Linked DNA regions of Coturnix japonica. The protein of the gene in region 1 interacts with the protein of each later gene in a pairwise test. Links are inferred from orthologs where the notes say so. Each region holds a gene or a part of one and is shown on either strand. Other genes may lie near its edges.

Region 1 (6,497 bases):
CGGGCACCGGCTCCAACTGACAACGGCTGCAGCCCCAACCGACGCCGGTATCAGCCCCCAAACCGACGTCAGGTGCAGTCCAACTGCTCAGAACTGCGGTTCTGCCCCAGCCAACCCCGTCTGCCTTTAGGAGGGGCTGGTTGCTGTCCTACCCCAGCTGGAGGCATCACCTGTAAGCTGTGATAGGGACTAGGGGTCGCCTCACCGCCCACCACGGCCCCACTGCAGCCCCCCATCCACTGCCCTCCCCAGACAACCTCAGGGCTGGGAGGAGCAAATACACGGCCCAGACCCCCCCCCAACAAAGCCCAGGAGGACACAAGTGAGCGCAGTTTGGTGTTTATTGGCTGCAGTTTACAAGGCCGTGGCAAAAAAAAAACCCAAATAACCCAAAGGAATATAAAATCCAGCCACACCGTACCCGCCAGAGAGGCCTCTGCACTTAACCCCTACATATAAAATAATTTAAAAGGAGGAAACTATACAGGAATATTTACACCTCTGATAAATAGACTGATACTGATCCAGGTGTCTCTCTGGACCTGCGTATGTGGCTGGGGAATGGGATGGCCGTGGTGTTTGTGGGGCAGAGGAGTGGGGCCACATCCTGATGGCAGCCATCCTTGGTGCAGTCCTGCCTGGGGTCAGGGGCTCACAATGGCCTTCCCTACCCAGCACTGAGGGGCTCATGGCTGTAGGATGTGGCAGGGCAGCACCAGCCTGGTGCCATGGGACTGCAGCCTCCCCCAGCTCCAGCACCCCATGGCTGGGGAGGGCACCCCAAGCCCGCTACAACGAGGGCCAGGAGCGCTGCCACTGCCCTGGGGCTGCCCTGTGCCTCCAGCACCCCACAACTGCCAGCCTTCTCCTCCAGGATGGGACACCTCAAGTGCTTCAGGACACGAGTGCTGGGACCCAGAAGCCCGTCCCCAACATGGGGATGCTGGGTTCCCCTTGGCCAGGCTCTTATCTCTCCCACTGGCTGCAGCTCACTGCTGCCCAGGACTGGAAGCTGCTCAGTGGGAGCTCAGTGGGGGGATGCCGGGCAAGCACTGGGCTGCTAAGGTGGGAGGGGAGGGCGATGTGCACAGGTGACACTTCTCATCTCACAGCCAACCCCAGGACTGTGTGCAAGGGAGTCCCAGCTGCAGCCTGGAGCTGTCTGGAAGCGAGGTGGTGATGGCACTGAGATACCCTTGCTCCCTCCCTCCCCCCACGGTAAAGAAACTGCAAAGCTGAAGCTGGGTCCTGGCACCAGGGCCGTGCTGAGCCCCAGCCCCGCAGCCCTGCGGATGGAGGTATGGTGCTGCCAGGGGCATGGTGGTCTTGCCAGGCTGCTAGTGCCTCTTGGTGGAGGATACCTTCTTCTTCCTGGCAGCCAGCATCTCGTAGAATGGGTCCCGGCTGATGGCTGCCCTGGTGGGGAAGCAGAGAGTGTCAGCCAGCAGCTGTACCCCACGGGAAGCCCTTTCCCCCCATAACATGGCTCCCATGATGTGCTGCCACCCACCCTGACAGCAGGGGATGGCCCGCAAAGCACTCACTTGATGCACTTGATCCACTCCTCCTTCTCCTCAGGTGTGGGGGCTGAGATGCGGTACACGGTGTGGTTCCCCTCCACTACCCGCCCGTCTGCCTCCGTTTTGCACGCTTTGATCACCTGGTCCTTGTTGTCAGGGATGTAGAGCTCAAAGCAGTTCTGCAGGGAGGAACCCCTTCAGACACAGCCCCCACACCAAGTGCAGTGGGGCACCCTGGGCTGGGGGAGGATGGTGCAGAGCAGTGGGGCTGCACACCCAGCACAGCAGGATGGGGCCATGCTGTGACATCACCCCACAGCTGTGTCCTGCCACCACAGTGGGGCCCTCTGGCTTTCCCTATCCCACCCTCCAGCCTTGCAGGATCCTGCCGGGCACTCACGGGTTTCTTGGAGTCCTCCACCTCACGGATGCTCAGGTTCTCCAAGGGGATGATGCCACGTGGCTCTTTATCCTGATGGGGCCAAGCAGAGCTTGTCATTACAGACACCTCCAACCAGTGCCCCATAGGAAGGGCTGAGTGCTCCCAGCACTCTGTGCTACGTCTGCATCCCACACGGCCATGGGACCCCCGAGGGTCCCCAGCCCCCATGTAAATCACTGACCGTCGTGTATTCGAAGTAGTAAAGGCAGTTGTCGGTCAGGATGAACCAGCGCCGCTTCCACGTCTTCACCCTTCCTCCTGGGAGCAGAGAGAGGCGGTTGGGGGCAGCCCTGGTGCTGCTGCATGGCACAGCATGGCACGGCACGGCACGGCAGTGCTGCAGCCCAGGCGGACGCACACAGACAAGCAGATGCAGGCAGCCCGCAGCGCAGAGCAGCAGGCAGCACACAGCACGCCGGCAGGGCGAGAGCATGAGCGGAAAGCAGACGGATGAGGATGGAGGCAGAGGGAGGTGGGAGGGCAGGGATGGGAGCACTGCCGTGCCCGCTTACAAGCACTGATGTGCGGCAGAAGGAGCTGCAGCTCCAGCCCTGCAGCACAGCCCGATGCCAAGGCAAAGCAGAGCTCGGTGCTGCAGCATGCGAACAGTGGCTGGAGGGAGCTCTACACCCAGCACTGCCATTGCACATTGCTCCCCCCCAGGCTCAGAGTGCTGCAGTGCTGGGCCTGGCTCTGCCCCCGCACCCCCACACGCTCCAAGCACCAGCTGCTCTGCTCAGTGCTGCTGTATGGGTGCCCAGGCCATGCTGCCCACAAAGAAGCAATGTGTGCAACGAGGGGAATGTGCTCATTTCCTCTCTCCCTGTCCGGCTCTGCAGGGAGATCCCTGCCTCATATCCCCCCCCATCCCACCCCACTGCCCACCCATTAACCCAGCCACAGTCAGTGCCCGCTCCTGGGAAAGGCTGCACACCCCATTCCCTGCCCCACAGCCAGGCAGGGCCGGCATTTCCCAGCAAAGCCCCCCTGCTCCTGCTCACCTTGAGCCGAGCCCACCCCACAACCCAAGGAGACTTGATGCCCTCCAGCCCCCACCAAGCCCTCATTGCAGGCTACAGCCTCACCAGGTGACAACATGGCAGGGCTCTGGAGGAGGAACCGTGTGGCATTGAGAGCCAGCACAGCCCTGAGGCTGCCCAGAGTGTGCCCACATGCTGAGCCAGGGCAGCACTTGTGCCCAGCACCAGCACAGCCATGAGCTGCAGCACTGCACAGCGCCCTGCACCCAGCCAGCTGCAGGTCCTTCCTGAATGCCCTGAAACACCACAATCCAAGCCCCATCCCTCACGGTACTGGAGGCCACGACCCTCTGCGGATGGGTCTGAGGACACACCAGTACCAATTGTCCCTATGATGGGACCGAGGGCAGCAGAGGGAACCAGGACACCTCGGGGAGCATTCGGCATCGGAGGGACCAGCAGCCACGTCCCTGCCCTGGTGGCTGCGGGTGCGGGGCTGTCCCCTGCAGGCAAGGTCCCCCCGGGCGGTGCGGTGGTTAGCAGCAGCAGCAATGAGACTAATCGCCAGCGATTAAAAACGAAAAAGAAACGAAGCCCCCAGAGGCATGAGCAGAGCAGGGGATAAAAGGGGTACAGGGGATAGGGGTACGTACCTCCTGGAGTTGGGGGACAAGGAAAGGAAGAGCCAAAATCATGGAAACATACAAATGAGGGAGAAAAGAAAATTAAAACAAAAAGGAAAAAATAAAATAAATAAAATAAAAAAAAAAGAGGAAATCCCGAAGAACCCCCCTCACCCCGCACAGAGCCGTGTGTGTCAGCGGGACAGGGCTGCAGATGGGGAGCTTTGAGGGGATGGGCCACGGCACCGCTCTGCTACACTATCGGTGTCCTTGGCTCTGAGCAGCCCCCACCCTCATGCTATGGGACCCTTCTACCAGCAGAGCTCCGGGCTCTATGGGGACACAAAGGCAGGGGTATAGGGTTCTTCATGGCCCTTCACACCCCCACCCCACAGCTAGGGAACACCTTGTTCAGTGCCCAGGCAGGGCTCTGTGTTGGTCATTGCAAGGAAAGGGATAAGGTCCTGATCCCATCTCGCAGGGGTGGCAACAGAGCAAAAACTCCCCCCAGTGAGAGGACAGAGCCCCAACCTCAGCAAGAGCCCAGGGAAAGGCCCTGCAGCCCCTGCTCCTGCCAGCACCCCCCCTCCTCAACCCGGGCAGAGGTCCCCAGGAGGTGTCGAGATGAGAAGCTGCAGGAGCCAGGGTGTGGGGCAGGGTGTGGGGCAGGGTGTGGGGCAGGGTGTGGGGCAGGGCAGGCTCGTGTCTGCGAGTGCCGGGCTGTGCAGCAGGGATGCCATGCACGCTGCCTGCATGTGGAGCCGGGATGCGGAGGTGATAATGCTGTGGGAAGGTGAGGCAGGGACAGCTCTGAGGCATGGAGGGGGACACGCAGCCCGGGGGCAGCTCGCCATTCACTCCTTGGGGCTCTGATGGGACCCTGCTGTGTCCCAGCGCTGTGCAGAGCACCCCCAGCTCTGTGATCTGACACCAGAGCCAGGTACCAGCTCAGCACAGCAGCCTCCAGGCAGAATCCCACTGGGAGCCCACGTGGCTGCAGCAAAGGGCCTCTCCAATAGCAGCTCTGCTCCTGCTGCTCAATGCGAGGCCGATGGAGGGACAGAGGTACGGACACTGTCCATGCGGGCTGTGCTCATGGCTGCAGCCCCTCATCTCTTGGCAGGGCTGTGCTCCACAGAGCCACGTGCAGGCAGTCTGTGGGCATCATACCCATGGCTCAGCCCAGACCCTGGGGCAGAGCACACCCTGCCCAGGCTGCACCCATCTGGTTGCCAGCACTTACCCAGCTTCAGCAGCCAGCCCTCCCGGTCAGGGTTGAAGAAGGTGTGTGTGAGGTCATTGCCATCATCCTCTGGGATTTTGAAGGGTTCATTCTTGATGCTCTCATAGAGATTCTGGTACAACCACACACGGTGTCACCTCTGTGAGCCCGCTGTGCCCCAGCCCTGAATCCTTGCATCCCATCCCTTACCCGCAGCAGCTCCTCAGGCAGGTCCCCCCCATCGTTGATGCCACGGTTCATGGCGATGAATCGCTCTGCTGTGGGTTTGTCCTTGACGTTGGGGTTGTGCAGGCTGGTGTTCAGCATGATGATAGCGAAGGAGAGCACATAGCAGGTGTCTGCGGGGACAGAGAGGACAGTCAGGTGCAAGGCAGGGCACAGAGCAGGGCACAGGGCTGGAGCTGTGCTCACCTGTGGACTGGAAGACGCCAGGGTTGCACTGGCAGTACCGCTGTGCGAAGGCCTCCATCATCCGATCGATCTTCTGTGCCTCTCCCGGCAGCCGAAAGCTCCACAGGAACTGCCTGAGGACAGCAGGCACAGCACTGCTTTGGTTGCATCCTCCAGCCCTCAGGGCCCTGCAGGGCACACAGCTCACAGCCCAGCCCAGCCCCACTCAGCCCCCGGCTCACCGCAATGCCTGGACGAGGTTGAGGTCCGTGAACTCATGCAGCTCCACGAAGGCGTGCAGGACTTGGATGTTAAACTCGTCCCTGCAGAAACAAAGCCAGAGCACGAGGTGTGTGTGATCAGCCCGTCCTGTGACTGCCGCATGGCCCCCTGCCCCGCTCTGCTCTCTGCACTCAGGATAGGGAACCTATGGCTATGGGCCATCCTATGGCCAGGTTTGCACGCAGCAGCCTTTCCAAGAGCCCAGCCACAGACCCTGGCACTCAGCAAGGGGCTGGCGCAGCCACTTGAAGACCCAGAGCCTGATGTCCTGCTGGGGGCCCTGGAGCCAGCCCAGCCCAGCAGCAACCTGCAAGGGTTGCACCATCTCCTCCTGCACAGGGACCGAGTTGCTCCAGGCCTTGCGTACCTCTCACCCAGGTAGTCTCCAATGGCTGTCTTGTTGAGGCCCTCTCCCTTGTAGAGGAACTGAGCAATATCCTCACACGTGTTCTTCAGCAAGTCGTTCTCAATCAGGAACTGGATGCCCTGAAGCAAAGCAAGAGGCATTGATTCGGGTCACGCTTCCAACCTTTATGCTATTCCCTTCTCCTGGCTCTGCTCGGCTCAGTACCCAGACCATGGTATGCAGCACCCCCTGCAGAGCCTGATGCCAGCCCCCAGTACCTTCTTGGGATCCATGTTGAACTTCTTCCTGCCCATTGCCACCTGCTTGTTCCTCTGCATGTTTTTCCTGCAGGACATAAAACAGCTCTGAGCGTCAAAAAGAAAGTAATAGAAAGGTTTAAGTTGGAAAGGACATGAAAAATCACCCAGTTCCATTCCAGGCTGGAGTTGCTCCCCCCCCACCAGATCTAGCTACCCAGTGCCCCATGCAGCCTGGCCTTGGGCTCCCCCAGGGATGGGGCACCCACAACCTGTGCTAAAGAACTGCCCAGAGAAGTTCAGGAGCCCTGGATTCCTCCTCCCAGCCTCTTGTCCTGTGTGGATGGGATCAAGAGCAAAGCTCCTCAACCCCTGACAGGCTCCACAGCACCAAACTGGGCACAACCTGCATGA
Region 2 (6,341 bases), on another chromosome or scaffold:
ACGTGCTGACATCCCATCCTACCAGTGAGCAGCATTATGTTATTTCCCCTGCTGCAGGTCAGCCATTGATCTAACAAATAACTGCTGCACTGGTTCAGAAGTAGTCAAGTGAGTGCCTGCGGGGTCAGCCGCACCACAGACTTCCTTGGCAACCTGCACAAGCACACAGCTGGGCAGCCTGGTAAGTTACACAGCTATCCATGCAAACTGCCCAGGCAAAGCTTGCGTGGACAATATTGCTGTTCCTTGCACATTTTTCTCTGTTCCACATTCCAGCAACACCAATCAAAACACCACGGCTCTGGGCTAAAGCACCAGCAGGGCAGCAGCCCTGGGGCTCTTTGCCATCCCTTGGCCCCAGCCAAAAGCACAGCCACTTGGCAGGGTGGTTTCTCCCATCCCATCAGACCTCACTGGCACTGACATGGGGCACAGCCCTGTGCCACACACCAGACATTAGTGCCGACACTCAGGGCCAGGCCCACACCCAACTTCACACAAGAGTGAAAGCTCTCCTGGCTGAAGCCTGGCACTTCTGGGAAACCACTGCTATCTGAACAGGAAAGCTGGGTGTTTCACAGCAGCTTCTGTCTTCCTGAGTTCTCTGCACCATACAAGGAGGGGCAGCCGCTCAGTGCTGCTCACACAGGCGTTGACCCCAGATGCACACAGACAGCAAATCCCATCCCTGCTGCAAAGCTCTGGCAAGCCTGAACATTTATGATGAGGTTTATTCCAGCCAGATCAGAATCCAGTTTGAAGTACCCCATTCCTGCAGGTCACCTTGGCTCAGTGCTGCTATAAGGAAAAGCTCTCCATCAGGTAAGGAATACTCCAAAGTGTCTACACGTCATGCTTTGACATCCTCCAAATGCTGGCTTAGCTCGCTGTTTACTTACAGCACTCATCAATTCTCAGTCTGACCAAGTTTAAGAAAAGGCAAAAATTGTCTTAAGAGGAGGTCAAAATTATAAAAATGATTTTTTTTTTGCCTAATTTTCATCATTTGATCTAATGAAAAACAATCCTATGTCATGTGACCAACATTTTTTCTTCCCTAAATCAGGCCAGGTTAAGATCTGGAGAAGCTCAGCACCCACTGGCAGGATGAGCCCTTGGATACTATCAGAAAATGCCCAGGGGCTCACAAAGACCCTTTGCAGTCCCAGAGCTGAAGACGTGTGGCTCCCAGAGATGTGATGGGGAGTCAGGACCCTGTGGTTGTGGCATGACAACCTCATGTGCAGGCTGGTGCTGCAGCCAGAGCGATGCTGCAGTGCCCACAGTGAGGGGGTGCTGACATCATCCCCACACACAGCAGTGGCACCCAGCCCCTGCAGCATCCCCCAGGGAGGCACTGGGACTGGCAGCACCAGCACCAGGGACACATGGTCCCCCGGCCCCTACCTCACCTCATGGCCACCCCCACAAACAGCCAACTCACAGCAGCACTCTGCATTTGACAGCAGCGCAGTGGTTCACTGTGTTACCTTCAGCAGATGCAGCTTGGTCTCCAGCTCTGTCTTCCTCAGGAACAGGGCCCCGTTGACAGTCTCCAGCCTGGAAAGAAGAGGGGGCTTTGGGTGCCAGCACTGGGTAGTAGTGGCCCCACAGCAGCACGTGGTGCTATGTGGTCCTCATGGAGGGGATGCACATGGGACACTGGGGGTCCAGATGTGCCACCACTTCCCCTCAACAGATGGATTCAGCACTTGCTATGGGATGAGCATGGGCAAGAGATGCATATCACAGCACTGCGTGTCTGTGAGTGTGGCACTGCTGCTTAGCACAAGATTTGATGGCTTCCAGTAGGACAGTGTCAGACTCAACTGTGAAGGGCAGATGCCTACCTTAAATAGTTCCCTGAAGACTTTATCAAGTCTACAATTTGCTTGTGACTAAAACCATCAGTGTTCACTCCGTTGACATTGGCAAGAATATCACCTGTAAGGATAAGCAGAGGCTAAAGTGAGCATCTTCAGCATACGCATCCCTTCCACATTCTATAAAACAAAACTACCATGGAGAAAAGCAACCCACAGATAGGAAAGAAAACAAGTCATTACCAATTTGAAGGCCAGAAAAATGGGCAGGACTTTCCTCTTGGATTTTGCAGACACAAGTGCATACCTCCAGGGAGTAATCGGTTTGGTTTGGAAATCTAAGTGTCTGTAAATAGCGAAAAAGAAGTGCTGCTGACATTGAAGACAACAAGCAATATTTACAATACTGTCATATGATCTATTCTGATTTCACACTGCTTTTTTAAAAGGAGAAGGCTGTGTTGAGCAGGTTGTATCTTTACAACGCCTGTAAAATCCATCGTCCTGTTATCAACTCAGACATTCATTTAGAAAAGTGCTAAACTAAGAGATACGACCTGAGCAGATTTTGCAATGACAGGAAATGTATTTTGGGTTGCATGCAAATATCAGTATTCGGCCACATCCTCTGCCACGCAGACATTTAAGACTGAAGCTGAAGTTCCTGAAAACCCACGACTGTCAAACCTACCTTACATATGTGATAGGTTCCCACATTCCTCAGTCAACACTGACAGAGATGAATTCTATCATGACTTCAGAGTTTATTAGGGCAAATCACACCAACGTGGTGATTTCAGTCTTAAAACCACCAGAAAAGCTTTCAGCTAAACTAAGAACAGCACATGATGTGATGCCCCATCCCTGGAGGTGTTCAAGGCCAGGCTGGATGGGGCCCTGGGCAGCCTGGGCTGGTATTAAATGGGGAGGCTGGTGGCTCTGCATGTGGCAGGGGGGTGGAGCTTCATGATCCTTGAGGTCCCTTCCAACCCAACCATTCTGTGACTCTGTGATGAGGGTTCTGAAGGATAAACCACTGCATATTCGAGGCAGTAGGATATGCCTGTTTTTCTGTTTGGACCATCTTGAGCGGCGGGATTCACCATTCCTAGCTGAGACGTCTGTCCACCAGCTCAGCAACTCTGCCAGAGCCACCCAAAGAGGCAGATGTCCCCAGCAAGTGACTGGTGGCCCTAAGAGCTCCATTTCTAACCAGGAGGATGGGATTCTTCCACCACATGCCTTCTTCTCTTCATAGACCATGGAAAAAAATCAGGCTGTCACTTTGGGCTGGATAACTGTGCTTTAGGTGGCCACAATGCCAGGAAAGACATGACTTGGAGCAGCTGATGTGCAAACACCTGGGCATGGACAGAGACACCCCGTGTCCATCTCACCACCAGAATCCATTTAATGAGTGGGGAGTACTAGTACAAGCAGCTTGTACCAGTACCGGAACAAGCAGCACACAAGAGTCTCTGTGTTCAGCCATCGCTGTAGCTCTGATGAGCTCCTTGCAGATGGCAGACCTTGAATTTCACATCCTCATATTCTGGTTTGCCCGTGTTCAAATTATAGCAAGAATGAAACTGCAACTTCCAAATAGTGGCTTATGCTTGGTACCAAACAGATACTGTCATGTCACAGCCTGGACTTTCTAGTGAAATGCTCACACTGAAGGTACATTCAGGAAGAAATACACCAAGAGCAATTAATTCTAATCAGAATGTCACATATAATGAAAATCTGCCCAGCGGTTTATACAAAAGCCGGATAATTGACTCAATTATCTTCCCTTCTGAAAGCTTTCAAAGTGTTCCTGAGCTGAACACTTACAAAACCATCAGTCACAGAATCAACTCTGAACAAGCTGGGCTTTCCCCACAGCACTCCTTTCACCAAAGCCAGCAGGTCCCTCTGCACAGCGCCGTGGGCACAGCGGTGCCATCTCATACAGCAGCTTTTCTAGAAATAAAAGAGGGTTTGGATCTCTCTTGTTTTATATAAAAATATCTCTGAAAACACGATCGCCTGAGGAGGAAGGAAGGCGTTCCCATTGCTCACTTTGGACCTGAGGTGTCTCCTATGGTCAGCTCTCCAACTTGCCGTGGGACCAGGCTCTCATTTGTGTCTGTGAGAACTCCTCAGTAGCACATCCCATTTCTGTACTGCTTCTTAAGCACTCCTGTTTAACAAGGGACTCACAGGTTTCTTTCTCTACCCCATCCAGCATTAATCTAGTTTGGAGGATGTGAGTATTATAGCTTTAAATGAATCAATTTGCCACGTAAGTCTTACCTGGATTTCAAACCCAAACGTCTCCTTATCTTCTTTCAATATAGAAATGAAGTGTCTGCAAGAAAAACGCTCAGAATTACCAGGGTTGTACAGCAGGGAAAGGCTGTGCCACAGAGGGCAGTGGGTGCAATACAGCTCCCAGGGCAGACGGCACAGCCCTGAGCTGCCGTGCTCAGGGAGAGCCGGGACACCAACCTCAGACTTTGGGTTCAGATGGGGCTGTGTGGGGCTCGCTGCTCCTTGTGGGTCCCTTCCAACTGGGATATCTTATCTTTCTATGATTCCATTCCTGAGCCCCTCTACCCTACTTCCCCCTTGAGTGATCCATCCCACCCGGGGCTGGGCTGTGTGAGCACAGCTGGTGGGGCATCGCCGTACCTCTGTGGCTGGGAGCAGTCCCCCAGGGAGCTGGATCTGGTCAGAGCGAGCTGCAAGCAGAAAGAGGAGAGGAAAAGTGTCAGTGGGGTCACAGCTCCTCGGGGCTCCCTGTGGGCCACAGGAAGCTGCTGCTGGAGGAATGCCACTGTGTTGCTGTTAGGCTGGAAATCAGTCCCTCAAAAATGGTATTTTTCCAAATCTTTTAAACACGACATTCAGCACTACCAAGATAGGAACATCACAGAGCAAAACAAAGCCATGAGTGCTCTTAGCACATGGTAATATCGATCCGGTTGCTTACATCCAGAAGACATCAACGGATGTTTCTCCGTGGGGGACAGCCCTGCAATTCCAGTCCCAACCTGATGTGAAAGCATCGCTGCCCACCAGCTTTCTGCTGTCCCAGCCCTCCTGCAGCGAGCAAAGAATGGGGAGCTGAGTCACTGCCGGCCGATATCCCGTGATAACAGATTGTGCAGGGGTGACAATGCGACCTCTCCCAACCAGCTCTCAGACATCACTCCCAAGGAGGAGGTGAGCACAGCAGGACGTGGCTGGGGAACACAGCAGCACACACCGGAGGGGCTCAAAGCAGGAGGGGCTGCATGGGAATCTGAAGGGCTGCTGTGCTCACATCAGTGAGTGCAAGAGGAAAATTAGTGATGAAAACACAGACAAAAATCTGATAGGAACAGTTCCTGGAGTAGGGGATTCTGAACAAAAACTGCTGGAGGTGCAGCTTCTCAGGGGGCAGAAACTGGAGGGACAAAAGGCACAGCTGCTAAAGAGGAATGCTGTGTTCTGTAGGGCATCAAAGCAGGACCTCCTGCTGCACTTCAGCATCCAGCAGTAAAGCAGGGAGGCTCCAAGACTGGAGCCAGGGGTTTCCAGTCAACATTTTCAGTAACACTGTAATTATCATCTATCAGGTGCCCAAATCACAATTCTGTTATGCTGAGACCTCAACTTCCTTTCACACCTTTCCCCTAAAAATTCAGTAGGTATTTGTAACTTTAACATGTACCACAAAAGGCAAAGAGCAGACACACACATACACACACCACAAAGCTGCAGGCAGCTCTCAGCAGCTACTAGTAGTGGCTAAATAGTGTTTCCAAGCTGATGCATGGCCATGGCAACAAGCACCCAGCATCCCCACTTCATTCAAGGCAGGCTTGTGCCTACAGAGGCCCGAGAAAAGCCAGGATCAGCACTTAAACATCAATGCTTTGTATAAACATGAGCCAAAAATAAGGAATTACATTGCTACTAAACTATATAGTCAACATAGTCAAACATCTCCGGCTTCAATAGTGCAAAGCCATGACAATGTGCAACCACCAACACAACTTCCATTTTATGAACCTGTGTTTAATTGGAGAGAGAAGCAGGGAGGAGTAAGGGGTGCCACGTAGTAACACATTTGGAGTTCTTCCTTAACACACACAGACACACCACGGCTATTTATCGCTCATTCATCTGCACCAGGACCACCAAGTGCTGCTCTGTCACTGCTGGTGGTATCTGCACCAATGCAGCAGAGCCTGCCCAGAGCTGGTCTGCTTCTGGCTGTCCTTTACATCCGCAGGGCTGTATGGGAGGAATGTGCTGCTGTTGCTGCATAAAGCAGAGCGTTCAGTGCACAGACATTATGTGCCAGTTTTCCGATAACACTTCAAGACGATAATGCATTTCAAGCACTTTCAATTTAGGCTTATTCACACAAGACAAACAGGCGAGCTACAATTGCTCAGCTGGCAATTTACAGCAGCAGCAAAAGACAGTTTCGTTGGCCTCCCATTGCAAACAACAGAAATTTTCTGTTCTGCATGAAAAGGGAGC

The links. The genes of interacting proteins can lie anywhere in the genome.
Region 2: the proteins of CYTH1 (region 1) and CYTIP interact in binary tests that used the Homo sapiens proteins (3 or more experiments, as listed by UniProt). The link is inferred for Coturnix japonica from reciprocal best matches to the Homo sapiens genes CYTH1 and CYTIP.

Annotation. Positions count from the first base shown.
Region 1 is NC_029533.1:4,590,040-4,596,536, forward strand, and holds the end of CYTH1 (cytohesin-1), read right to left. Parts: intron 6,172-6,497; coding exon 6,105-6,171; intron 5,967-6,104; coding exon 5,848-5,966; intron 5,522-5,847; coding exon 5,441-5,521; intron 5,333-5,440; coding exon 5,220-5,332; intron 5,147-5,219; coding exon 4,998-5,146; intron 4,921-4,997; coding exon 4,809-4,920; coding exon of another isoform or gene 4,808-4,808; intron 2,223-4,807; coding exon of another isoform or gene 2,221-2,222; coding exon 2,144-2,220; intron 1,993-2,143; coding exon 1,921-1,992; intron 1,700-1,920; coding exon 1,545-1,699; intron 1,417-1,544; coding exon 1,338-1,416; 3' UTR 324-1,337; downstream 1-323. UniProt on the Homo sapiens protein: Promotes guanine-nucleotide exchange on ARF1, ARF5 and ARF6. Promotes the activation of ARF factors through replacement of GDP with GTP.
Region 2 is NC_029522.1:29,845,999-29,852,339, reverse strand, and holds part of CYTIP (cytohesin-interacting protein), read right to left. Parts: intron 4,550-6,341; coding exon 4,500-4,549; intron 4,177-4,499; coding exon 4,122-4,176; intron 2,170-4,121; coding exon 2,067-2,169; intron 1,945-2,066; coding exon 1,851-1,944; intron 1,561-1,850; coding exon 1,491-1,560; intron 1-1,490. UniProt on the Homo sapiens protein: By its binding to cytohesin-1 (CYTH1), it modifies activation of ARFs by CYTH1 and its precise function may be to sequester CYTH1 in the cytoplasm.